7 linked regions of the Danio rerio genome follow. The protein of the gene in region 4 interacts with the protein of the main gene of each other region in a biochemical or structural test. Links are inferred from orthologs where the notes say so. Each region holds a gene or a part of one and is shown on either strand. Other genes may lie near its edges. The genes, in order: etv1, myb, stat3, ep300b, grip1, kat2b and pcna.

The links.
Region 1: of the proteins of ep300b (region 4) and etv1, one has a biochemical effect on the other in vitro, tested with the Homo sapiens proteins (2 studies listed by BioGRID). The link is inferred for Danio rerio from reciprocal best matches to the Homo sapiens genes EP300 and ETV1.
Region 2: the proteins of ep300b (region 4) and myb form a complex in vitro, tested with the Homo sapiens proteins (3 studies listed by BioGRID, with this or other methods). The link is inferred for Danio rerio from reciprocal best matches to the Homo sapiens genes EP300 and MYB.
Region 3: of the proteins of ep300b (region 4) and stat3, one has a biochemical effect on the other in vitro, tested with the Homo sapiens proteins (2 studies listed by BioGRID). The link is inferred for Danio rerio from reciprocal best matches to the Homo sapiens genes EP300 and STAT3.
Region 5: the proteins of ep300b (region 4) and grip1 form a complex in vitro, tested with the Homo sapiens proteins (2 studies listed by BioGRID). The link is inferred for Danio rerio from reciprocal best matches to the Homo sapiens genes EP300 and GRIP1.
Region 6: of the proteins of ep300b (region 4) and kat2b, one has a biochemical effect on the other in vitro, tested with the Homo sapiens proteins (4 studies listed by BioGRID, with this or other methods). The link is inferred for Danio rerio from reciprocal best matches to the Homo sapiens genes EP300 and KAT2B.
Region 7: the proteins of ep300b (region 4) and pcna form a complex in vitro, tested with the Homo sapiens proteins (4 studies listed by BioGRID, with this or other methods). The link is inferred for Danio rerio from reciprocal best matches to the Homo sapiens genes EP300 and PCNA.

Annotation. Positions count from the first base shown.
Region 1 is NC_133190.1:36,829,714-36,833,751, forward strand, and holds the start of etv1 (ETS translocation variant 1), read right to left. Parts: upstream 2,801-4,038; 5' UTR 2,716-2,800; intron 2,530-2,715; 5' UTR 2,413-2,529; coding exon 2,368-2,412; intron 1,443-2,367; coding exon 1,355-1,442; intron 1,139-1,354; coding exon 1,091-1,138; intron 861-1,090; exon of another isoform or gene 472-860; coding exon of another isoform or gene 411-471; intron 1-410. UniProt on the Homo sapiens protein: Transcriptional activator that binds to DNA sequences containing the consensus pentanucleotide 5'-CGGA[AT]-3'. Required for olfactory dopaminergic neuron differentiation; may directly activate expression of tyrosine hydroxylase (TH).
Region 2 is NC_133198.1:34,756,884-34,760,827, reverse strand, and holds the start of myb (transcriptional activator Myb), read right to left. Parts: upstream 2,801-3,944; 5' UTR 2,631-2,800; coding exon 2,608-2,630; intron 751-2,607; coding exon 633-750; intron 1-632. UniProt on the Homo sapiens protein: Transcriptional activator; DNA-binding protein that specifically recognize the sequence 5'-YAAC[GT]G-3'. Plays an important role in the control of proliferation and differentiation of hematopoietic progenitor cells.
Region 3 is NC_133178.1:15,703,973-15,708,041, reverse strand, and holds the start of stat3 (signal transducer and activator of transcription 3), read right to left. Parts: upstream 2,801-4,069; 5' UTR 2,613-2,800; intron 1-2,612. UniProt on the Homo sapiens protein: Signal transducer and transcription activator that mediates cellular responses to interleukins, KITLG/SCF, LEP and other growth factors. Once activated, recruits coactivators, such as NCOA1 or MED1, to the promoter region of the target gene.
Region 4 is NC_133178.1:23,740,361-23,743,860, forward strand, and holds the end of ep300b (histone acetyltransferase p300), read right to left. Parts: coding exon 1,181-3,500; 3' UTR 13-1,180; downstream 1-12. UniProt on the Homo sapiens protein: Functions as a histone acetyltransferase and regulates transcription via chromatin remodeling. Acetylates all four core histones in nucleosomes. Histone acetylation gives an epigenetic tag for transcriptional activation.
Region 5 is NC_133179.1:13,709,656-13,713,155, forward strand, and holds part of grip1 (glutamate receptor-interacting protein 1), read right to left. Parts: intron 1,655-3,500; coding exon 1,571-1,654; intron 969-1,570; coding exon 893-968; intron 1-892. UniProt on the Homo sapiens protein: May play a role as a localized scaffold for the assembly of a multiprotein signaling complex and as mediator of the trafficking of its binding partners at specific subcellular location in neurons.
Region 6 is NC_133194.1:23,131,025-23,134,524, reverse strand, and holds part of kat2b (histone acetyltransferase KAT2B), read right to left. Parts: intron 3,282-3,500; coding exon 3,195-3,281; intron 2,822-3,194; coding exon 2,640-2,821; intron 1-2,639. UniProt on the Homo sapiens protein: Functions as a histone acetyltransferase (HAT) to promote transcriptional activation. Has significant histone acetyltransferase activity with core histones (H3 and H4), and also with nucleosome core particles.
Region 7 is NC_133185.1:46,058,752-46,062,744, forward strand, and holds the start of pcna (proliferating cell nuclear antigen), read right to left. Parts: upstream 2,801-3,993; 5' UTR 2,539-2,800; coding exon 2,318-2,538; exon of another isoform or gene 2,265-2,317; coding exon of another isoform or gene 2,233-2,264; exon of another isoform or gene 2,043-2,232; intron 1,839-2,042; coding exon 1,741-1,838; intron 1,319-1,740; coding exon 1,251-1,318; intron 744-1,250; coding exon 549-743; intron 1-548. Other genes in the region: E3 ubiquitin-protein ligase TRIM69, read left to right, coding at 2,233-2,264. UniProt on the Homo sapiens protein: Auxiliary protein of DNA polymerase delta and epsilon, is involved in the control of eukaryotic DNA replication by increasing the polymerase's processibility during elongation of the leading strand.

The sequences.
Region 1 (4,038 bases), on a different chromosome or scaffold from region 4:
TATAATAATAGTAAAAAACTTTGAAAATATTTGAAAAATCTGAAAAATATATATATTTTTTAAATAACAGAATTATAATTAAACTCTCAGAAAAAGAAATGACTTTAAGTTTAAATAGCAACCATCGGTAGCATAACATATTAGTTTGAATAATAGTCTGAAACAAAGCGAAGACAAGAAAAGCCATCTTTAACGTCACAATCAACAGTTTCACATAAAAACTATCAGAATTAAGTTTACTATCAAAAAACAATAACTTTTAGGTTATATTTGCAACATTTTGCAAGTTTGGAGTAAAAACTGCTATTAATGGCATAAATCTTTTTTCTCATATAGAACCAAACTTACATCACATTAAAAATATGTCTAAACACATCTACAATCAACCACAAAGTGAACCATTTACTAACCTAAAGGTCGGTGCTGCAAGCAAGGTGGGAAGAAGACACTCGCGTTTAACTCCTGAAGCATCACGTTTGAGTTACACCACAACCAGCACGTCTTGCCATGAGACAGAAAAAAATGGCCAAAAACAAACCGAAAAAAAAAAAAAGTTAGCACGGATGAAAAAAAATTAATAAAAGTTGAAGCTCTAATAAACGATCAAGCGTCAATCCATTTCTCAACAAAAATAAAGACAGATTAAAAACTTAAAACACAAAGAGAGAGTAAGAAAAAGGAAAGCTGTGAGGGAAAGAAAGAGAGTGTTCGCGTGAGAGAAAGAGAGAGAGGGAGAGAGAGAAAGGTGGCAGTGTTGGTGGCTCGTCTGCCTTTGCTGCTGCCAAAAGCGGACGAAGAGAGGAGAAGAGAGTGAGCGCGAGCGACTGCACAAGTTCTTCTGGTAATTTGTGATGACACTCAAAGTAGAACCTCCTCGGTCTCCCCCTAGACTCCTGCTCTTCTCCAGCACTAATGTATGCATGACACACCAAGTGCCTTCGCTACAGATGCATTAATTGGACTGCAGATTAGGTCTGTAACTTGAGGCATATTTGCTCCCCCTCCCCCAGAATCTTCTCTCTCTCTCTCCGCTTGGAAACAAAAGCTCGATCAACCGATGAGAAGCTCAAGTAAACAGAGCAGAGCTTACCTTCGGCGAGCCAGGTCTCCTGAAGTTGACTAAGATCTTGAAACAGCTCTGAAAACAAAAAAACAAAAGAGAGACGATGGTGAAACAACAGGTACAAAGGTTTAATTATGAGTTTTGACACTCAAAGAGCGAGGCGAGCGCTGCTGATTGAGATTTTTTAAAGCCCCTGAGTGCAGGTGGCGAAGGGCGATATTGCATTTTAGCGAGATGTTAAGAAGGCGTGAAATGAACATTGTCTGTTTCACCCCACACCTGAGTGCTTACCCTCAGTGTCCAGCGCCAGGTCAGAGTTAATGAATTTTCTTTTTCTGTCCTTTGCTGGTCTCGTGCCGGACGTCTTTCCCCGAGGATTCTGGACAGAAAGCAACAGATCAATCGGCTCAAATGAAGACAGAGGGAGTTGAGATGGTTATTGAAAGACTTCTGCACCATAGCCTACATTAGATGTAGTGTTCAGGCTCTTTTGATTTCTTTGAAATACTCAGAAATCAAACTTTTTTTTATTTCTTGGGGTAAAATCGATGTTTGGTGGCCTTGATCAGCCCTCAGGTGGACTTGATAATCTACTAAGAATTACTATTTTTCCAATTTAGCTGAAAAGTTTGATAAGTCTTGGACTGACAAAAATGACAAGCCACCAATTATTTTTTTAATTTAAAAAATGCTCAAAAGCAGGCCTAAATGATAATGTTGCCTAATTTAAAAAGTTGTAAAACCAAGTTTCTATACATTCTATACACAAATGCACATCATCTCATGCCACATTTAATATTTAGCCTATGTAAATCTTTCTAGAGGACAGAAGTTAAAGACTTAAACTGAAGAATCATATTAAAAGCTAGACTTTATACAACTAGAACTGATAAATTAATAAATTACAGTACTTTAAAACAAGTTATAAAGATTTTATAATCTGTACGTTTAGATTACCTGTGACTGTTTATTAGTCAGAATCAATTAAGGTGACAGAAGTTCCTTTTATTTGAATAATAGCACAAAAAGTGACGTTTATAAGCCTAAGCACGATAAATTATGTCATTTAAGTAATTTAATACACCACAACAAGATAAAATGCTATTATAATATGTACATTTGAACTATCAGTGATCGTATATGTCGTCAAAAATGAGTGAAGCTCCCTATGCTGCAGAATCGCGCGCGTCAATGGCACGTTCCTGTCACGTTTCATAAAAACGCCAACTGTCCTCAATCAATTACACAAGTACATAACAAATCATATATCAACTTAATTGCGCGTTTAGCTTCACCAGACTTACATGAGACTTTATAAAAGGCACTTGTTGGTCGTGAAGTCCGTCCATTCTGCCGCGTCTGGACCGTGAGCGCGCGCCGTCCGATCAGAACAGGAGATTCAGCGATTTAATGAAGCGATTTAATGATGCGAGCTCCGGTCACAAACACATCTTTCTCTCCACACCCTATCAAACAGACAATAAAAAGCAGCAGATGTGTGACACTTTGTAAATACATTTGCAATGAAAGATACTGCGCTGCTGTGCGTGCGTAATGCGGTCCTCCGCAGGGACGGGACTTTTGGAAACACTTTTGTTTTGTGTCGAGACAAGATTCACGAAGCTGATGGAGAACTTTAAGCTTGCACTCACCTCACTTAACGCACCGGATTCATTGACGGACGTTTCACCGGACGCTCGTGTCTGTTCTCCGCGCTCAGCTTCGCCGTCTGCTGCTCCAGGGGCCTCCCTTCCCAAACAGCCGGAGCCCCGCTTCCCATTGGCTGCCACTGTCCTCAGACTTCCAGCCGTCAATCAACTGCCAAATTCATTAAAATGTGCACAACTGATATTGCAATTATAAGGTGTTTATTTATGAGAACACACATCTCGTCATTATAATCCCTCTTGTGGTTTGATGTTTTGTAAATTGCGTGCGTGAAAGTTCCCAATATCATATTGTGCATCCAGTTTAGGATTCTTGTAAATGATCGAACAAGCTACAAAAGTGCATCACAGAAACATGTTAAAAAGCAAATCGATCTGTTGTTAATAAATCCTTTTTTTAGGGTGGTTTAACGTGTTTCTGAAGTAGGAGTCCGTGGCCCCCTAGAGGCCCCCAGTGAACTTTTAATGGGGCTCTGATTGGAGTTAGAAATGTTTCCTAACATTTTTGAGTCTAAAAATTGGTAGTCATACTCAAATTTTAACTGTGAGCCAATATAAGATATTTACAGTATGTCTGCAAAAAAGCAGCATATTTTCAGACTTTTGTTATTAATGTAAAAAAGATTGATAATTCATAAAATTCCAATTAAATAACTATTATTTAATTACAAAACAAGTTATTAAATAATAAATTATATAGATTTATGTTTAAGTTTAAAACATGTATGGTTTATAATATAATATAAGCAATAAATAGTTAAAATGTCACATTAAATGTCATTAAATATTTTTGTTGATAAATTTCTTGGATTATTGATTATTTTATTATATTTTGATATAATAGATTTTAGTGTACATGCTTAAAGAGTTAAAACAACATGTTCTATTATTTATTATGTTATCATTACTATACTATATATGAAATATAATTCATTCTTCACATTTGGAGAGTTAAAATGTAAAAATAAAATTTACTGAAAGGTGAAAAATAAACATCTTTTTATTTCTATTATTTTTTGTAACATTAACATACTAATTAATTACTTATAACTATAATATTATAATATTATACACTCTCAGAAATAAAGGTACAGGAGCTGTTGCTGGGGCAGTACCTTTTTTAAAAGATACATACTTGTACCCACATAGTCCACAGTGGTACCTTAATGGTGCATATTAGTACCCAAATGTACCTAAAATGTTAAGCTTGCTGAGGCCACAGATTTAAATAAATAAAAGATATTAATGCTGGCATGCCCATCAAGATCCTAATATTTATCTTAGAGAACATAAAGAGAGAGAACAATT
Region 2 (3,944 bases), on a different chromosome or scaffold from region 4:
CTTTAAATGTTACTTGAAGCTGTATAGAAGTGTCTTGAAAAATATCTAGTAAAATATTATTTACTGGCATCATGGCAAAGATAAAATAAATCAGTTATTAGAGATGAGTTATTAAAACTATTACGTTTAGAAATGTGTTGGAAAAATCTCCTTGAAACAGAAATTGGGAAAAAATAAACAGGGGGGCTAATAATTCAAATATAGATTACAGATTTTTTTTGTATTATATATAACATTTAGATGTAAAAATAAGGGAGTTATGAATTAAATTCAAATAGGCCTATTATAACATAAAATACAGTATTTCTGACAAATTTTCTTTATAATCTGAGTTTACAGTATTGCAATACAACTTGGTATCATGATACTATAGCTGGTATAGTATCATAAGATTTATTAATAATATTGCGAAAATTAATAATATTACAAAAATAATATTGTGTGTAAGTATATATAATTTACTTATATTTGCAATTGGTCAAAATGCTGTTAGCAAATATAGATCATTGTTACTATATCTTTATAATATAGATGCTATTATATATCTGTAATTAAATATAGATCAAAGTGTTAAACTACTACAACAGCACAAAAATAACACTTAAACAAAGGCAAAGAGCAGTTTTATGTACCTCCTCACGGGTCCAGCGTGTCTTGCCGAGGTGGCGTTTTCCTGTCTTGGCATGAGGACCATCATAGTCATGATCATAAATCTCCACATCATCATCATCTTCGTCGCTACTGTAAACACTGAGGGGGAGAGAAATGATCAACTGTGAGATAAAGAGAGTAAGGTATCAAAGAGAGGGTGAGTCGGGTGGGGGGGGGGAAGGGGGGGTAATAATAAAACAGCAAACCAAGGGTAAATATAGAATAAATAATAGAGAGAGCACTAATAAGAAGAGTGGGGAGGAATCTTCATGAACCAGATGTGTGTTGGTGACATACACAAATAGCACCCTTTCACCTCCATACATCTATCACGCGTTATAGAAAAATTAAGCGATAACACAGTCAACACAAAACTGGAGTGGATGAACCAGTACAGCCGGCAGGTTAGGGTGCAGGGGGGACACGCTCACAGAAACCTGTTCTGGTGTTTTTGGTTTCCACAGAAACAGCAAGCGTGTGCGTGGACTGGCACTGTTTCATGATAGAAGCGTGTTTAGACCTGCACAGGTACTGTCAAAACCATCTCACCTGGCCGGCTCTGGGCCAATCAGGGTTGAGCACAAGCAGACGTGGAGAACAATGTTCCCCTTGCCTTTGTGCCACAGGTGTATGTGTATGTACTTTTAAATCTCATGTTTATCCTTAATGCGAGTACTCAAAACAAAAGATAAGGATGATAGCTCGCTGCATTGATTACAAGTGTTTACACTGAAATGTAAAACTCAGAACGCACCTAGTCCAAGCAAATATGTAGTCAAATATATGGTTTCATCTTTAGTGTGCGCTGAGTAACTGTACTGTGACTTTAAATACCTGTCAAAATAGTCTCACTGTGGCTGAAAACTAATTCAGAGGAATTTTTGAGTAGTTTATTATTAGCTTAAGTGACAAATACAACGAAATACTCTCACTTTTAACCCGTTGTGTGAACTTAATATACATTAAAGTGAATTTAGCTAACTGTAAACGCTCCAAAATTTGAAGTAAACTTAAAAAGACAAAATTAACCTGCTGAACTTATAGTTTTGTTTCATCTTTTATCGTAATATTTCATCAAAAGGAAACAGGCAGAATGACAGCCGCAGTCTCCATTCACTTGAATAGAAACAAGATGCAGTGAAAGTGAATGGCTCGCGAGACTGTCAGACCCTCACTCGCATTCTGCCTCATTTTCATTTATTTAATTTTGTTCGACGCTAAAGTTACAACAGTTTAAGATCAGCATGAGGGTGTGTGAACGATGACAGCATTTCATGTAGGGTCGAACTATCCCTTTAAGACTATAATACCACGCTAGTTATTACAACCGACAAATGTAAAGCGGATTTAGAAAACTCAGTGATTATAATCCATCCGGCTCACGTGTAATCTCAAAATTAATCCAAACGATATAATTCAGAGCCATTTCCGAAAAAGAGTAAAACTCAGTTAGTAGAAATAGTACGCGAACACACCGAGATGTTTTTGGCAATCGCCCGCTATTTTTCAACTACGCTACACAGCCGCTGACATTGCGGCTCTCCTCTGTTGTTTCTGAATCTAAATGAGTGTTCTTCTTTTTGGGGAAGTACCGAATCAAACCTTAACCTGTCCAGCGGACTCGCACGCGCAGGTGGATGAATGAAAATGTAAATGAACGCGAGCGCGAGACCACCGCGCGCGGGCGCGAGCGGAGAGCGCACATGCCATCCACCTGTTCAGCGCGCGCGGCCACAACAAATGCCAGTCCTCGCAGACTAAGATGCGTGCGATTATAAAAATGCAACAAAGCTCTCATTTTGAGCATGCCTTTTCTGAAATACAATGTTCTTAGGACAAGCCGTTTATACGTGTGTACATATATATACCTCCATGTGGCTGTGGAGCGCATTCTCACAGTATAAGGAAATACATGCGCGAAAGTTTTCATCATAATGCATAAGTTTTAAAACTCACCTGTGTCTGTGCCGCCTCGCCATCCCGCTGTTCGAGAGGAAGGTAGAGATGTGATGGTGAGTGCGCTCGGCTCAAGTGTGCTAAGGTGGAGTGCTGTCAGCTCCTCTTCGAGGAGGAAGTGCTGATATTAAGCTCTCTAGTGGAGTGTGCGATATTGTAAACAGATCCATCAGACAAAGCTGGGCTGTCTTTCTCCCTCCCGCTAAATTTGGCGCCTCGGGTCTTGCGCATGCGCACCATCCGCTCGACTATTCACTGAGAAGAGCGCCTTTTGAGCAAGAGGTCCGCGCTAATCGTCCACTGTTGTGCTTTTGGAACAATTATATTGTGTTTTTGGAGGTAAAGAGGCAGGGAGGGGTGGCAGCGCGTTTCTTGGAGGACAATGTGGACTCTGAGTGGGAGTGAAAGTTTGGCAAACAAGGAGAAACAGAGCGTGAGGGGGTCCGGGCATCCTCTCTCGAGTTTATCGCTGTTTCTGCGGTACTGAAGCTGCTGTACTCTAATGAGGGATGGTGAGAAAAACTGGCTTGTGGTTCCAGTCGCGACTCCCTTTAACAAATTCAGTTAGATTTTAAAAGAATATTTAAAACGGTTTAAATTATGTTTGTTAAAATTAATAACAATTATTATTCGTTTTAAATAATCAACTAAATTTGTAATAAATTAATCTAAATGTTACATTTTCGTGGCTTTTTAATAAAAGAAATGCAAATCAGTAATTACAAACTTCAAACATATTAAAAAAACGTGGTAGATGTAGCCTAGACATATTTTTCAAAATACCACTATTTATAACAAAACTGATTACACAACTTTAACACATCATATTTATAAATAAGCTACTACTAATGCGCTGAAATAACCAGCTAATACAGAAATGTTTGGGCTTTGTCTACTTCCAAGCAAGAGAACCAAACTTCAAGTGTTGTACACATCAATGGGACATACGGAAAGTATTATGGGATGTTTTAGTTTCTTTTTAAGTAGGACATAAGGTAATAATTGATTCGCCGTGTCACTAACAAGAATCAGCTCATAAGAGTCATTTGCTCGAGTTGGTCAACACAGTGACGCGGCTGAAGGCTGTGTGTATTTGATTCCATAAAAGAACCGGATCATAAGAGTCATTTGTCAGAGGTTCGAACTGCTATCCGTGTATCGAAATGTGAATCCAGCAGTGTTGCGCCTAAATATCTGTGCAGAATTTTCTTTCTTCTGCGAAGCTATTCAAACGCAAAACAACCGCTGAGCCGTACAGATAAACTTTTCAAAAACATTATTTCGATTGGGGCAGTTTTTAAAGTTCCCCATTCCTAAATGCACGTTTTCCTTTATGG
Region 3 (4,069 bases), about 8.0 Mb from region 4:
GTTTTAAGGCCTTAAACTTGGATTTTGAGATGTAAGATAGTTTTTATGACCCTGCAGAAACCCTGTTAATGAGTTTTGTTCTAAAACACGGTTTTTAGGTATATGAAAGGGCTGCACAAAATTGGGAAAAAAAACCTGACATTGCGATATTTTGTTTTTCAGCAATTTTCAGATTTTTCAGATTTTAAGATTTTATTACAATTTGTCAGCTGACTTAAAATTGGAAATACTTCATAACTTTAGTTTGATTGGGATGATTTTTAGTAGAAACACTCCTTCTAAAATATCTTCATGAAATACAATAAACAAATCACAAGCATAATTAAATACAACGCTGCAAAGATAAAACTGAAACAAACAGAGCTTTATGCTTTTTTTTCTGAGTTGTGTTCCATATTCAGACACAAATTATCAAATAATCAAATGTAAAATAAGACCATTAAATTCACCATAAACTATTTAATACGATTAATCTATCATAAAGCTACAAATATTATAATTTCTTGGTCTCAATTTATTTAAACTACAGTCAGCTCTTTGCGATATCAATGATGAAATGATATATTGTGCAGCCCCAATAATATCTAAGGTAATAGTAAATGACAAATTTAGTAAGTGTCTTTTGTAAATCATTAAAATGCATGATAGCAATTTTATTTATCAATGTTTGATAGCAAATTTTTTTTTATTCATTCATTCATTTTCTTTTCAGCTTAGTCCCTTTATTAATCAGGGGTCACCACAGCTTAATGAACCCACAACTTATCCAGCATATGTTTTACGCAGCACATGCCCTTGCAGACATAACTCAAAACTGGGAAGCACTCATACACACTTATTCACTACAGCCAATTTAGCTTATGTAATTCACCTATAGCGCATGTCTTTGAACTGTGGGGGAAACTGGAGCACCCAGAGGAAACCCACACAAACACGGGGAGAAGATGCAAACTTCAAACAGAAATGCCAACTGACCCAGCCGGGGCTCAAACTAGCAACCTTCTTGCTGTTAGGCGATCATGCTAAACACTGCGCCACCTTGACACCCCCAAATTATTTTTGCCTCTGAAAAAAAAAAACATTAAAGGGATACCCAAACACTCTGTAATCATTTACTCTCCCTCGTGTGGTTTTAAAACATGATGAGTTTCTTTCATCTGTTGGAAACAAAAGAAGATATTTTGAAGAATGCTGGTTGCTACGACCCCCTAAAATCCACAGTATTTTTTACTATGGAAGAGAATGGGTGCCAGCAAAAAGCATTCTTCAAAATATCTTTCTTTTTTGTTCAACAGTTGAAGAAATCTTAAACAGGCTTTAAACTAGTAAATGAAGAATTTTAAGGTGAACTGTCCCTTTAAGGACACTCTCTTGAGATACGGAGAAAAACTGCCAATCAGAGTGCACCAGTGTCTAACGTGTGCACATCTCTCGTCGGTGGGAACTGTGAAACTGGTTTCATTTGTCGAGTAAAGCAAAACTCGGCGAGGCGACATGAAAGCCAGAAGCGAGACTGCAGTGGCCGAGCAAAAGCGCGCGCGCAGGTCGGTCTCCATCACCTCTTACTCGAGGATTCCCTCGCCATGTACTGGAAGAGTGACGTCATGGGGCAGAGGTGGGGAATACCCGTGGAGGCAAAAAAAAAAAAACAACAAAAAAGATACCTATCCAACCAATGCAAGTACGAAAGCTGCCAGATTGGCATACAATGCGCTTTTTATGCTGAATCGGTGGCGCAAATCCAAGCCAGATTATTAAACAATAATGAGAAGTGAAATCAAGAGACTTTTTGTACTATAGGTGGTTCTAGTACTGCTAAACAGCTTGTTGTCTATTAATTTTGGTTGATATTTATTATTATTATGAACACGTACTTATTTTGCAAGTGTATGCAAGTACTTCATCACGAGGTGCAATATTGTAAATATAAATGCCAGTAAAATTGACTTATGAGAATTATGCCTTTTTAACACTTGTCTCTTTCTTTTTATTTGCTCCATTTCAATGTTTTTTTCTCTCTCTTTTTAATTGCTCAATTTCATTGTCTTTTTTTTTTTTGCTCCACCAGCATCTATCTGATACACTTTTCCACTATTATACCCTGCCAATCATGCAGATAAAGCGTTGTTGACCGACTCTGAGAGGATGAATGGATTCCAATGACAAGAAATGGCATCTATAAGCGTAAAATGACACAAACAAACAAAATCTGCATTGAGGAAAAAAACAACTACAACAGATCAAGTGAAGAAGAAATAAACTCTACAAACATTCATTCAAGCAAACTTAATGATTCTTAATACTTCTGTCACGTCTACTGAATCGACATCATACTAAAACGAGTTTGTTTGTTACACATGTAACAAGTATCAACTGTTGTCTAGTCAGGTCACAGTATCTTTTAGCTTCATTTAACAGCCAAGTGGAAACAATGTGTACATTATTTCCGTCACGAGAAATCAATCTAGCGGTTTAACGTTATAACATAATTCAAACATCAACACAAGCAGAACCACCTGACAACAGAAAGCAATGTACACAACAGAAACATCCCCAAAAATTGCGTCAAACTGCGTTTTCCTTTAAAAAAGCGACGTGGCTGGACAACTTACCCCTTAATGTGTCGCTCAAGGTTTCAGATAAATCGTCCTCCACGGAAACAAGCGCAGTCAACACGTTATTGACTACAAAAACAAGCGTTTTAGAGACGATATGCTATCGTAAAACGAGCTTTTCCAACTTTTCTGACACTGCAAACACGCGAGCTACGGTGGTCTGTGCGAAAATGGGCTGCACGTTTGCGGTTCCGCTTTGATTGACATGTCTCTGACGCAGTCGCGAGCGAGTTTAGAATTCTGTCCAATCGCTGAGCTCGAATGGCGCAGAAGAGGCGGGACTAAGCGCGCGCCAGCTCGAGGCCGCCTGTGTTTGTTGCTCTGGCTGTGCAGGCTGTTCCGGCTGCCGGTTCCTCCCGTGTAAAACCGTGTTGTGATACGCAGCACAGCGGGGGGAAATCCAGCTTCTGGAACAGCACGGCTGGAAGTCATCTGAATTACTGGCAGCGCCTACGTCATCTGGACTTTTAATTCAGTGGATGTGAAGTGTGTGCTGTCGTGACGTTTGGCGTCATCAATGCGTCTCTTTATATAACTTTGTGCACCTATTCAGCATAGTGATAATTGAAAAGCCATTAAAACTGTCCAACTGTGCTCTAGTTTCAATATTTTTGATTAATGTAAATGTCTTGCTTATTTGTATTTGTAAGAATGTTAGTTAATTACTTATACTTTTGTTTTTTATGTTTGTTTTGTTTATTTATGTTATGTATTGTTGTTATCATTTACTTTCTATCACCATGTATATCATCATGTATCTGTTGTTTAAAGCATAATAAATAGAATAATAACGAAATATATATATATATATATATATATATATATATATATATATATATATATATATATATATATATATATATATATATATTTTGTAACTTTGTGCACGTTTAAGTGTGTGAACACAAAATAAAACATGTTTTAATCATCATTTCATATCAAGTTAGAGTAAGTATAGTGTAAAATAATGTCTTATTTATTTCTAAGAATATCAAGTTTAAAAAGTCAACTATGTTAGAAACTTTGACTTTACAAATAACTTTGTAAACTTTGAGCAAACAAATAAACAGTTTCTTGGCTGGACTATAGCTTTGTAAATGAAGACGTCTGGTTTAGTCAATAGCTGCACATCTTTTTGCATTTATGATTAAAAGGTTTGTGTGTATATGTTTATTTTTTATTTGCTTTTTTTATTATATTATAATTTTTATTATTTCAAAACTGATATGTGCAGCTACCATGGTATTTTTGACCACACATATTGAAATAAAACTCCCCTCTGATTTTCCCGAAGAAAATAAAAAATAATTTAATTATATTGTTACTTTTAGTTTAAAAATTGATCTTCCAGGTATACGACTGTATTTTTAACCGCAGATATCGTAATAAAAACCCCTCTGAAATTCCCAAAGGACACCCATGTCGAATTAACTTTCTGTTATAATCAAGCGGCT
Region 4 (3,500 bases):
ATGCGCAATAAATAAAATTTGTTATCTTCGTTTTATTAAAAAAAAGTATTAAGTCCACAGTTTGTGTTTCCTTTGTACAGTACAAAATATTCAAATTAAGCTCCCAAAGTTCAGCGCAAAGGAAATTCTGGAGGTGGAGGAAAATAAGGAGTGGTACTGAAGGACAAAAATGGTAATATCAGTGGCACACACGCCTCTCATGTTCTGTTGTTTCACTGCGCCATACAGTTCATAAGTGAAACGCTGCTCAATATGGCATTGGCATGAGCAGAACTCCAGCACCACTTCTAATACACACGCACACACATATACACAAAACATTCTCTCACCCAACCTGTACAGACAGCTCCACTATCCAGTAAGTCTTAGAAGGAGTGCACACACATTCTGAGGGCAGGCGGGCGGGCCGGTGTGTGCGTCCAACAACTCGTCCTGTTGCAAAAGCAGTGATGTCCAAAGGAATTTCCAATATGGCATGAAATAAGATCCAATGGGCAGCGGAGCGCACACCAAACCCGATCCCCCAACACTGTAATTTATATTATAGTCAACCTAAATCTCCAGCTTAAGGAAAGGAGTAGCTCCCCATTTTAATAGGTATTAACAAAAATATATTCTATGTGAACTGTAGCAGTCTCTGGGAACGCACATGAACGAAATCCATCATGACGACAAATGAAAAAGCTAGAATAAATAAAATGCAAAACTCAAAATTTACAAGGAAGATATGCATGATGTTCAGATAATTATAATAACTATATAGGCATCACAATAGCTGAAATGTTCCATGTGACTCTGTAAAACATGTAACAGAGACTGGTACATGGTGAAACGATATATATAAAAGAAGTCCTTAGTCATTTGCGCTTTATTTTTATACCACTTTTAAAATCTTAAAAAATATCTCTTGAAAAAGGAAAAGTACTCCCCTGGACCTGACATTGAAAATATTACTTGTGGTTTGTTCTCTGAGGCTGAGAAACAATCCTCTCTTTGTACATATCTGGCAAAAGGAAAAAAAAAACACCCCCATATACTTATTTGTGTTGAATATAAGAGATCTCTCTCATAGAAGGGCCCGTTCTCAAAGCATTAATGTTGAAAAACACTAAATTCACCCTTGTAAAAAATGCTAACACTCTCTGGCGAGGTTTTGTAAATTTCCTAATAACTATATGATCTAAAGGGTTAGATTCATGTTAATGCCAAGGTCCTGGCCACTAGGAGGCAGCATATCATTCGCTCCTGGTCCGTGGAGTCCCGCCATGCCACTGAGTTGAGAAAGCATGGCATTCTGATCTGCGCCAAATCCGCTTGGGTCCTTAGAGTTGTGCTGTGGCTGTTGGTGGGGTGGAGGAGGTGGAGCCATGCCTGAGTGATGCTGCTGAAGATGGCTGGGATGCGGAGAACCTGTTTGGGTTTGAGGCGAGATGTGGTGAGGTGAGGGCTGAGGTTGCAGGCGTGGGGACGGACTTGAGTGAGGTGGCTGGGACTGGGGTCGTGGAGATGGCTGTGGTGAACAGACCTGGTTGCTGAGGGAGGATGGGAGCTGCTGGCCCTGCAAGTGGGGCGACTGAGATATCTGTTGCTGCTGTGGACTCATTGGGTTGTTTTGCTGTGCCGGAGAGGTGCCACTAAGATGCTGCTGCTGCGGAAATAGACGCTGATGCAAAGCCTGTTGCAATAATGCCTGTGGTGACTGAAGACCTGGACCTAGTTGTGTGGGCTGTGGACCTCCTCCAGGTCCCATGTCAGGACCTTGTGTTGCAGCATTCTGCTGCTGTTGCATCTGTAGCTGATGTTGCTGCTGCGCAAGCCTCTGTTGCAAAGCAGCTGCAGCTTGTTGCTGTGCAGGATTTCCAGGAAAATTCTGCTGTTGGCCAGGTTGTACTCCTTGCAGTGGCTGACCTCCTGGCGGGACTTGCATGTTACCCTGCTGACTCATGTAACCTTGCTGCTGCTGGAATGCCGCATGATTGCTCATTTGTTGTTGTTGTTGTTGCTGTTGTTGCTGCTGTTGCTGCTGAAACTGTAATTGCTGTTGCCTTCTCATGACTAGTTCTCGGAAGTGTGGATTGGCCATGTTTGGGGTCCCCTGTCCTTGAATCCCTTGCTGCTGCTGCTGTTGTTGTTGGTGCTGCTGCTGCTGTTGTTGTTGTTGGTGCTGCTGCTGCTGTTGTTGTTGCTGCTGCTGTTGTTGTTGTTGTTGCTGCTGCTGCAAGGCAGCAACTTGCTGTTGTTGCAGGAGCGGTCGTTGTTGCATTTGCTGCTGCTGTTGGCTCTGTTGTTGACTCAGAAGTTGACTCTGCATGTTAACACCTTGTCCAAGATGCATACCAGGTTGGGGAACCCCAGTATTGACACCCACAGGTTGGCCTCCCATAGGTCCTGGCCCTCCCTGCGGTCCAGAGGGGCCACCTGTACCTCCTTTATACTTGTGAACCCGTTGCTTGATAAATGCTGCCATTAGAAGTGGGCTAGACCGGAGAATGTTGAGAACTTGCTGTTGCTGTTGAGGAGAGCTTGGAGATCGCAGAGTCCGCAAAAGCTGCTGCAAGGCTCCCTGGGGCAAATTGCTAGCTGCAGCCCCACTTGCTACGCCACTCTGTAGACCAGCCTGTACCATACTCATCAAGGCATTTCGATTTGGCATTTGGGGTGCTTGCTGCTGTTGCGTTTGTTGTGATGGTTGTTGCGGCTGCGGTTGGGGCTGCATTGAAACCATTCCCTGCTGAGACATCATAGCAGGTCTCTGCTGGGTAGGCATGCCCTGCCCTGGCCACTGTTGCTGTTGAGGCTGAAGTGGTGGATTCATTCTCGGCTGCTGTGGATGCATTTGTGGGGGCATCTGACCTTGCACAGCGACCTGTTGAGGCTGCTGTTGCTGCATGGGCCCGGCTCCCATCATTCCCTGAGGTCCTTGTTGCTGCTCCATCTGCACCCTGTTCGCTGATGTTTGTGCCTGCGAGGCTAAGCCTTGTGGCCCTACCATACCAATTCCAGGATGGGCCACTCCAATCTGTCCCTGTGGCTGCTGATGGTGCTGTGGCATCATTCCTGCTTGGGCAGCTTGTCTTTGTAGCAACTGAACCTGTGCCATTTTCCGCTGTGCATCTGCCACTTGCTGAATCTTCATGGCAATCTCCACAGCGGCTGCCGGAGGACCTGTAGGTTGTTGTTGCTGGGCCATAGGTACAGTGCCTGGGTTGCTGGGGAGTTGCGGAGGAGTTGCAGGACCAAGGCCTGGTTTACCCTGGGACTGGGTATTTGGGGAGGGACCTGTGGGGTGGGGGCCATATTGATTGTGTGGATGTGGCACTTGTCCCAATGATTGCTGAGGAACCATTTGTTGTTGCTGTGAATTCATCATGCCTCCTGCTCCAGGCATCTGCTGAAACTGGTGGTGGACAGGATGCTGAGGAGACTGCTGGGGAGCTCCAGCTGGGACTCCTCCTGCACCAGGCTGGGGCAAAGATATAAGATTGGGTGTCAGCTGTGTG
Region 5 (3,500 bases), on a different chromosome or scaffold from region 4:
ACCCATTGCAAGCACCACAGAGAGCAAACAAGCATGCAAGAGTTAAAAATAATATGACATGCACAGAAAAATAAAATAAAAAATGCAACTACATAATAATTTCTTGGCAGTCAACAGCACTGTAAATGCTACAAGACTATTTTAAGTTTTAAGCATTTATCTTATTTTAAAAAAATGGAGATATTAAAATAAGTCTTAATATTAAAAAGAAAATAAACGTTTGATCCCATCAATGTTATAACAAAATTTTATATTATAACAATTTTATGACCTAATTGTCAGCAAGCATCAGTGTTTATTGAAATTGAAATAAAATTTTAAAACATTGAAATTAAGATAAGAAATTTTGTTATAGCAACACTTGTGACTGCTTTGGGAAATAACGCTTATTGTGGATGTCACGAGATGACTGATTGTGAAGGAACCTTTAGTCTGGCACATTTTTTGCCCAAGAGAAGTTAAGATTTGATTAAGACAAAATCGCATAATTTGACTTTCATAACTGACAATAAAAACCGTATGATCTGGCCGGGGCTTTACATAATTAGAACTCTGGGAACACTAAGTAATACTTTGTGATTTCTAAAACTGAAGATGCTTTAGTTTCTGTAAGTAAAGAATAAACAACTTCATTGGAACAAGATTCCTAGGTTTCATCTGTTTACTGAATCACAGTACTGACATTAGCTAAGCAAAATGCTAACACCAACTCCACCGAAATCAATTGTTAGACTTTCGACTTTTTGTATAATATGGAAATTTCTCCTGCCTAGATCAGAGTGTTTCTAATCAGTCTCTTTTCAGCCACTTTTGTTCAGGATGCTGTTTATGTTTTGGAAGAAAGCTTTAATGTCAGTGCTGATGAATCTAGCTGAGTTCAGGAACAACTCACCTGTCAGCTGGACCGCCGGGTCTGATGGTTGTTATGGTAACTGGGCGAGATTTGTTTCTGTCTTCATGGGCGCCTCCTACATCATAGGAAGAAAACAACTCGTATTGACATGTTTATCAAATGAAGTCATACAGCAAGACATACAGTACACCCGATGCTTTAACATACAGTACATTTGGCCAATCAGCTCCATACAGCGTCTTATTGAAAGACAATAAAGGCCGTTTTCTCACCTCAATGAAATTTCCATATATTTTTCAACAAAAGCACAAGATTATACATTTTTAAAGCCGCTGCTCGCTATAAAATTGCATGCCATTGAATTCACAAATGGAGTCTCAAAGATGAAAAGGAAGTCCTTAGTATGCCTCTTTGAGAATGATTTGAGAAAAGGAGCAAAGCTAACCAAGACCTTGGCTTTTTTTTTTCTGCCGCTCTTCAAAAGACTTCATACTCTAGATGGATATGAAAAAAAGATGTCTTTCTTTTAATGAAGTCTAAAATGCTGTTTGGTAAATATTTAGAAATCGAGTGCTAGCGGTGCTACTGAAAGCTGTTGCGTCTCTTTCAACAGGCCCAAGGGCAGCAAAATAAATCTTCAGCGAAGAATGGTCTCTCTTTGTTTGATGTAGATGTGAATGAAGCGCATTGAGCTCTGATGTGTGGAAGTCTGCTCACCTCTGATGACGAAACCGAATGTATTGCCTTCTTTGTGCAGCGTCACCTCCACGTTTTTGAACATGACCCCTGAGCCCTGTACAGCTGAGGAAAGAAATGAACAGTTCAAAGTTCTGTCAAGATTTCAATGCTTGACCAGAGCATATGAATGAACATCAAACTACAGATTACATCATATAGAGAGTGAAGAAACTCAGTGTAAGTGTGCTGTTATAAAACAGGTGTCATTGCAATGAATCAGAGGCAGGCTGGTGCATAATATTTATCATCTATGATGATAACAATCCACGGACAGATTTTCACTCATACATTGCCTGAACCACTTAATACATTTACATTGTTAAAAAGAAAACCAAAGGAGTGAGCTGTGCTTTACATTTTCTCCAAAATATATGATGAAGGTCATCAAGAAGTTGTAGGTGTTGCTCTAATTACATTTTTGAGAGTATTATGTTGAACACTGGCCAAATAAAAAGAGATGTTTATTTTTTTGTTTTATTGTTGCTTTACAGTAAAGTTGGTTATACACCAGCCTTGCTGTGCCTTGTTTTTGCATTGCTTTCTATATATTGCTAAGCAATGTGAATCAATGCAAAATGTTGGCAGCGATGTGCGTACCCTCATATAAATCAATGTTTAGAATTCTAAAAGATGTGATGTGGCACTTTGCATGTAGGGTGCAATGGGCTATTTGGATGATTTTGGATGATGACACTTACCTAATAGCTAAATGAATCAGCTGTTTTGAACAAATCATTTTAATGAATGAGTCCTTCATTAAGGCTGGGACTTGCCTCCTGGCAGTTTCACTGTCATATTTATTTATTGATGACAGGGCTAAACTAGCCAAGATACCAGCACAAAACTTACTGAACAATTATATATTAATATAAACAAATACAGTAAACAGTTAATTGTTTATTACTCTAAAAATGCAGATTACTATGGCTGAAAAATCAGCATCAAGTATCCAAACTGTGCAGTTATTCACACAGAATGTGTTTCTCTATTTCAATGTGTTACTTCTCCATTGTTTGTCTATGTAAATACAGACTTGATGAAAAACACCATGTCAAATTAAAAGAATTTCAACTTGCTCAATGTTAGTTACAAAGCAGTGGACCAATCAGAGGAACTCAGAGGTGGGGCAAGTCAAAGTCCCTCAAATGCAAGCCATTTCACTTGGCAGCCATCTTTGAAACGCCTCTTGGGCAGTATCCTCGGGCATTCTGTTTGAATGGGGAAACATCACATTCTCCAAAATTGCGTATGATTAAATTTCATATTAGGAAGCACCAATAAAACTAAACAAAATCTGTCTCGTTAGTTTTATTTCTAAACTTTTAAAATCTGCAGAAACTCACGTCTGATCCAAGCCCCTCCCACAGGGAATCGTCAGTCTACATCGATCGCTGATTGGCTCCTGTACTTGAAGGCGGGGTTTCATTCGCCATATGACCATTACACTTTTCCCTATTCAAAACTATAGGAGTAACATGTCTTGTGTATTCTATAGTCTTTGCGCATATATATTTACATTAGATGTCGCTTAAGCCTATGTTGTCTATTGAAAGGAATGCATCAATAGAGCCGCCATTTTAGTACAGGGTAGCGTTCCTTTGTAATGAATGTAGGACCAAGGTGCAGTGGAGGACTGACCTTACTAAAATTATAATTTTACATCACTTTTCTATATTGATGGATAAGTAACCACATGTTTATTGGTGACAAAAAGCATGTGCTTGTGTGCATGGAAATGTATTATCCTCCCACCCTGTAAAATTTGATTTAATCAGTGTTCTGAAACACCCCCTCTGATCCTGCTTTCACTTTTAACAGAGGGAGTGATTGGTTTGTGTTATGAATGACTCATATGAACCACCGATATCCCTGCGTCTCAATGTGCATATCCACCTTTCTTATCAAAACA
Region 6 (3,500 bases), on a different chromosome or scaffold from region 4:
ATTATAAATGTTTTTTTTCCCCATTTATTATTGTTACATGTTTCAATTATTAAGTAAAAAGCTTAAATAAGAGTAACTGAACCTTGCCTCATTCTTGATCTGTCGCACACATTACACCTGTGTCACTTAAATATTACAGCATCCCACTTTAACATCATAAAACACGTAACATTTAATTGGTGGCAGCGGTGAGATTATTTAAATTTATCTCTTTATGGGATGAAGTGAGACGATGTGTGTTTGACAGCGGATCAATTTTGAGTTTTGAGTGAATGAAGATTAGTGATTGAGTGGAGTTTTAGAGCATAATATTAGTATGGCTGAGTTTGATTTAAACAGTTTCGTTAGTGCACCATCTGTTGAACAATTGGATACCTTTCGAAAAGATGATTTATTAAAGATGATTTTGTTAAAGCCAAAGGGAGTAAATCTCTCCAACACAAAACACTTACTAGAAATGTTGTTTGTGTGTTGTAGAAAATAGACCAATACTTCTAAATTGTGATAATTGTTGGTCAAAATCTTTATAACGTTATAAGCGGATCACTTTAAAAAGATATATAATTTAATTAAAAATAAACTGAAGATTATTTTGTTTGTTGGATAATTTAGCTTGTTTAAAAGTAAAACTAAGTTAAAAAAAATAAATTAGAATTTTTTTATTCACAATTTTTTAAATATTTGGACTTGAAACAAGTAAAAAATTCTAAGTAAGAAAAACTTTTTTTATGAACCTGCATTCATCCTCGAAACACAAACGAAGATTATTTTAGATAATATCCAAGAGCTTCTTCATCTACAGAAAACAACAATGCTGAAATGTTCTAAAAAGGACCCAAGGCATTGTCAAAACATTTCATGTGACTTTAGGGATTCAACTGAAATCATACAAAAGCTATAAGAATATTTTTGTATCGAAAATAATACAATAAAAATTACCCAAATAAGGGTACTAATTTAAAGTGATAGTTGACACATAAAAAAAAAAATTCTGTCAATATTTATTCACACTTTACTTGTTTCAAACCTGTTTGAGCTTCTTTCTTCTGTTGAACACAAAAGAAGATCTATGTTGGAAATGTAATCATTGGCTTCCATAGTATTTGTTTTTCCTAGTATGGAAGTCAATGATTACAGGTTTTAAGCTTTGATCAAAGTATCTTCTTTTGTGTTCAAGAGAATAAATAATCTCATAAAGTATTGGAACCCATTGAGTAAATAGTGACTAAATACGCATTTTTGGATGAATTATCTCTTTCATATGGGCAATACAATGCAAGGAAGTTTCACTGCTGACTCTATTGGCAATATGTCACACTGTCAGTCATGGGACGAAAACCGGTTTCAAGGTTTACCGCGATTTGAAAAATTCAAAGTTTTAAAACCCGCAAAATCTTTCTGTTTAACCACTTCAAATGTATGTTTAAGAGTTTTTTAAGGTTTGTAAAGAAACCTGGTTTTGAAACTAATGAAGATAGCAAATGCCTTTTTTTATTATTCTTTAGTCTGAGATGTTTACTGTTCCAAAAAATTTTAAATGTTTCCTAAAATAAAATATATTGTGTTCATTAGGGGGGAATTTTTTTTTTTTTTTTTACCAAGACATTTAAAAATAACTTATTTTACAGCAGTAATCACAACACTGTGATATTTTTATCCAAGGTTGACACCGTCAGAAACTTATTCTGCCCCATGTCTACATACTGCCAAAAGTGAATGTGGTTTCATACACAAAAGCGATGTTGGAGCCTTGTAGATTAAAGTTGAACTACTGAAGTCACATGGAATGATTTAGATCCTTTTTTGGACTTTTTAGTGCAGTGCTGTCAATAGCTATGTTTTTCATCCACCTAATATTATTATGTGCATTTTAGATGTGCGCATAAAAAATGGTTGATAGAAATGCCAAGATGCACATAAACTTTGAATATTAACTTTTTATTCAATAAGAAACAACTGCTATAAACTACGATAGAAACACTTTTACCAAACTAATTTCAGGATGCGCATTAAAAAGTCATGTGATTTTTTTTAGAGGAGAGCGTGTGATTATAATAACATGTAAGTGAATGGACAAACCAGCAGGCTGACCACATTGTAAAATATCTGAAATGTTGTTTTGGTCATTCTAAAATGCTGTAACTATTTCAGTATTAGTGGTAATATATTATTTATTACGTCCAGAACTGTCAAAAGTGACTGTGCTCCGCATCTCACATCTTCAAACGCCACCACGCGCTTATTGCATGTCGGCATTGTCTTCAAATAATTTATTAAATGAATAAGATTAATGCAGCTCATCCTACCACAGCAAATTCTGTTTTTATTTTTGATATTCGGCACCAGTTAACGATTTTGTTCTCTTTGACTCTTTGGGTTTAAATGCTGCTTCATTCACAAAACTTTTATGCAATATTCCAGTTTTGCACATAAATTTAATTTCCATCTTTAGATGGAAACATGGCTAAGGGAGGATGAGAGAGCTCTCAAATTTCATCTAAAATATCCTAATTTGTGTTCTAAATGTTGCATAAAAGTCTCAGGGGATTGGAATGACATGATTATGAGCCCTTAATAACTGAATTTTCATATTTGGGTGAACTAATCCTTAGTGTAAAGTAAAAAAAACTAGCAATCACCTGGTGTAATTGACTTTATAACCAGCTACATCATCATCTGGTGCTCTTTGTCTTTTTTGTGAGGGCGTTTCTAGCTGCCAGTAGTTGATCTGGTTGAGGAACATCTTTGCGAGCTCCACAATGGTTTGTCTTTCCTTAGACGGAAGGTGGCTAAACTTGTACTGCACAAAGTTGTTCACACCCTACAACAAAAACAACACAGGAAAAAAACATAAATGTGTCTCCAACAGCAAGGATTTTAGGAATGTGTCTTTGGGTGTTTAGCATATTTGTACATCAGAATTATAGTACAATGCCTACAAATTAAGCAAGAAAGCTGGAGCTTGTGGTTTTCACCAAAGTCTGTTTTAGAAGAAAAGTTATAAAAAGTTATATCATAAATGCTCATTCCTGACACCAATATCACTGATGTTCGCACATGATCATGATGAAGAGGTTGACTTGTTAGTTAAGTATGTCACCAAACACATGCAGCTTATTAAATGTAAAGATTAAGACAATGATTCATTCGTAATGATGAAAAAATATTCTTGCTATTTACAGTTGAGAAGTTACCTGCTCGATGCTTGGTTTTTCAAAAGGCGGGCTTTCCAGAGCCTCCACCACTGGCCTTCCCATCTGCAGGATGCATTTCCTTAGCAGCTGTAACAGTTTAAACAAATAAGCTGGACAAACAGTTGCAAACCGAATATATACAGTTGTAATAATATACACAGAACATATACGGAATGTAAAATTACATTAATATACACTCAACGGCCACTTTATTAGGTACACCTGTCTAACTGCTCGTTAACGCAAATTTCTAATCAGCCAATCACATGGCAGCAACTCAGTGCATTTAGGCATGTAGACATGGTC
Region 7 (3,993 bases), on a different chromosome or scaffold from region 4:
TCTGATAAAATCCCAGATAATTATTAAATCACTTATAACCTACTCTTTTAGGGTAGCTTTTTAGATTTATTATTATTGTAAGCGTTTGATTATATTCATTGCATTTTTTTTGCATTCATCCTGTATGCATCTTTAACAGCTGCACATTATGTCTGTAAAGTGCCCCGAGATGCTACTTTTAAAGGTGCTAAATGAAAATAAAGCTGCTTATTATATAAATCTGATCAATCAGATGGGGCCTTTACTACCTTTAGCCCCGCCTCCTAAGTAGTTGCTGTTCTGCTATTGGCTGGATTGGCTTAAAGGTGAAATCAGAGCTAAAAAATGATTCTCACTAATAGTGCTTTAAAGACTAAAGGTTTGCATCTTGACAGTTTTAAGTCTGAATTAGATCTGGAAAATATATTTTACTTGTTTATTGCAAAATCATGAAATAATTTTTTTAAAACAGCTAATTAAATTGACTTTTTCAGAGAAATGTTTGATTATAGAATATATATTGCATATTTTTCCCAGTATCGTGCAGCCTTAAATGAATAGTATGTTACCGCTTCATCCTCCTTGTCGACGTTGCTGGTCTGTGAGAGCTTGATGTTGCCTGTGCCCAGCTCTCCGCTGGCAGAGAACTTCACGCCATCCTTGGCACACGAGATCATGACAGCATCACCAATCTGTGACAGATCCCTGCAGATGCGGGCAAACTCACCCGACGGCATCTTCACCACACAACTGTATTCCTGCTCCTGAGGGGAAGAGAATAAAGCATGATCATTGCAGACAAACATCCACGATCATATCAGAAATAAACAGGAATCAAGAGAGGGAAACTCAATAAACTTTAAGACCTCATCGCCATTTTAGGTTTTAACTTAACATTGGTGACAATTCAACTTGTAGTATATTTACTAAATACTGATTGTAAGAAACGAATCCTAAACTAAATCGGTCATGTACTGAATAAAAATGCTAATCCCAACAGATGGCACCTATAGAACAGCAGGAAACATAGGCTTGCCTTTATTACTGCAGTAGACAAAGCAGTGTGATGCCAAATCTAGCAGGATTTTATCAATTTCATAAACCACACAGATTAAATTTAGGCAAACTTTAGCACACAACTACACATTATATAATCATAAAATGACCAAAACAATTATATCTTGTAAAACAACAGTTAAGGCTGTTTAATACCAAATTGATTTATCAACTTTTAATGACCCTGCAGACACCCTGTTATAATAAAGTCTTACTGGAATGCCAAGCTGCTCCACATCCAGATCCATCAGTTTCATCTCATAGTCGGACACTTTCTCTTGATCTGAAATGAGATGTAAATATTAGTATGGATTATTAGCTCTCCAGCAAAACTTAACTTTTGGTTTCATAGTAATAGTTGATAACATGGTGAAGAAAATCCATACTAGAAGCATTTTTTTTATGTGATGTTATTAACCACAAAATGGCTCCAGTATCTATGCGAATTTCATTCTTACATTTTTGGAGAAAATTATTATTAGAAAATTATTTTTAAATATTAAGTATTAATTATTTAGCTTAACTTTAATGATTCATTTTAAACCAAAGCCCATGTTTTTAACAGGTATTGCTGATAAATCGATATTAAAATACTGCAAATATAAATTTAGCAACATAAAATAAATTCATAATAAAAAAAAGTTTTTTTTAATTGTACACTATCAAAAGTATTGCTATTCCTAGTTTAAAAAGAAGTTAACTTACTGAGCGTTTCAAAGACCAGTGCCAAGGCGTCAGCATTGTCTTCAGCTCTGAGTGTGATGATGTCTTCATTTCCAGCACACTTCAGAATCTTCGACATGCTAGGAAACAGATGAATAATAATCAAAACACGTTCACTTCAGGTAGAAAAACACCATATTGATCGTAAAATGGTTTACCATTTACATTCGAAACAGTCATGGCATACACAAAAAGTGTCTAAGCAGGTTTTCTTTGTCTAACACCAGAGCCATGTTGTCATTCAGCAACCCGGCATTTTCTTTCCCGCCAACAAGCTTAAGCGCGCGCAAGTGACGTCACGATCAGTAGAGCGTGGGACGAATGCAGGAAACTGCGCGCCAAATTAAACTGATAGCCTATTTAAAACACAACCGTAAAACGGCATACTTTAATAACAACTACTGTAAATAAAATACTTTTGTCACTTTATAGTCTAAAAATGGCGCGCTGCTGTGTAGAGGCGCAGCCCCGGGCATGCGCAGACATGTTCAAACTTCACTCACCAAGTAAATACGAGTCAAATAACACAAAAGGCGCTTGATTTAGTCAGTGATTTTACCTGCTCAGATTGACCCCCATGGCTAGGTTTCTGTCGCAGCGGTAGGAGTCGAACCCGTCACTCCGGAGCGTCAGCTGCACCAGAGACACATGAGAGGAGTCCATACTCTGCAGAGAAATGCCCGACGAGCTCACATCCCAGCAAGCCTCGGTGATCAGGTCTTTCAGAGCCTCCAGGACCTTCTTAAGGATAGATCCCTGAACCAGACGTGCCTCAAACATTGTGCTGCTTTCTTAGTTTAGAGTAGGAGGAACTAAAGTTATCTAATCCTGTTACGACACAAGCTGCGGCCTGGTTAACTGCTTGTTTTCCAGCACAGGAAAGCAGAATCCTAAACTATCCTAGAGTTTAGCAGGTACTAATGCAGAGGAGGCACGGTGCAGATGTGCTGTCCACTGTTCTGGCGAGGCTCTGAATGTAACTGCGCGCGCTTTCGCCGGGATTTTGTTAAACTGACCCACTGTTGCCTTCGTCATTTCCGCTGACGTTTGACTCCTCCTGGAACGCAGACAGAACTGCGGACACTGACCAAAAGAGGGCGCAATTTGGTCAGAAGGTATGAGTTATTCACAACATTTATGAATACCCATTACAGTGCGTTTTAATAACCTTTACCCCCACCCAAACCCTAAACTGACCCGTCACTGTGGTGTAAAATATTATATATTGTCGTACAGTGTGAAAAATGATGCTATGTCAACGTGCGCATGCCCAAGTATCCACAACTGTATCCCTTTTTTTGTTTCTTTGACAAATTACTGTGCTGTTGCTAGAAGGGATACAGCTACGGTCGGCAGTTAACGAGAATTATTTATAAAATTTATAAATACCCATTACAGTGCGTTTTAATAACGTATACCCCCTAACCAAACCCTAAATTGACCAGTCACAGTAACGTAAATTATTAATTATTGTTGTGCAGTTTACCAAAGATCAGACTATGTTGATGTGCGCATGCCCAAGTATACGCACCTGTATCCCTTTTTTGTTTCTGTGACAAATTACTGTGCTGTTGCTAGAAGGGATACAGCTACGGTCAGCAGTTAACGAGAATTATTTATAAAAATTATAAATACCCATTACAGTGCGTTTTAATAACGTATACCCCTAACCAAACCCTAAATCGACAAGTCACAGTAACGTAAAATATTAATTATTGTTGTGCAGTGTACCAACGATTGATGTTGATGTGCGCATGCCCAAGTATCCGCAACTTTTTGTGTAACACATGTTTTGTTGCTAAAGGATATAGCTGCGGTCTTCAGTTAACAATAACTACTTATAATATTTATGAATACCCATTATAATGCTTTTTAATAACGTCTACCTTACCCAAATCCTAAATCGACCCATCACAGTAACGTAAAATACTGTTGTGTCACAAAAATCATGCTATGTTGATGTGCGCATGATCAAGTATCCCACAACTGTATCCCTTCTTTTGTTTGTGTAACACATTTATGTATGTATATATATATATATATATATATATATATATATATATATATATATACATACATACATACATACATATATGTGTTACACAAACAAAAGAAGGGATACAGTTGGGGATACTTGAGCATATATATATATATATATATATATATATATATATATATATATATATATATATATATATATGTATGTATGTGTGTGTGTGTGTGTGTGTGTATGTA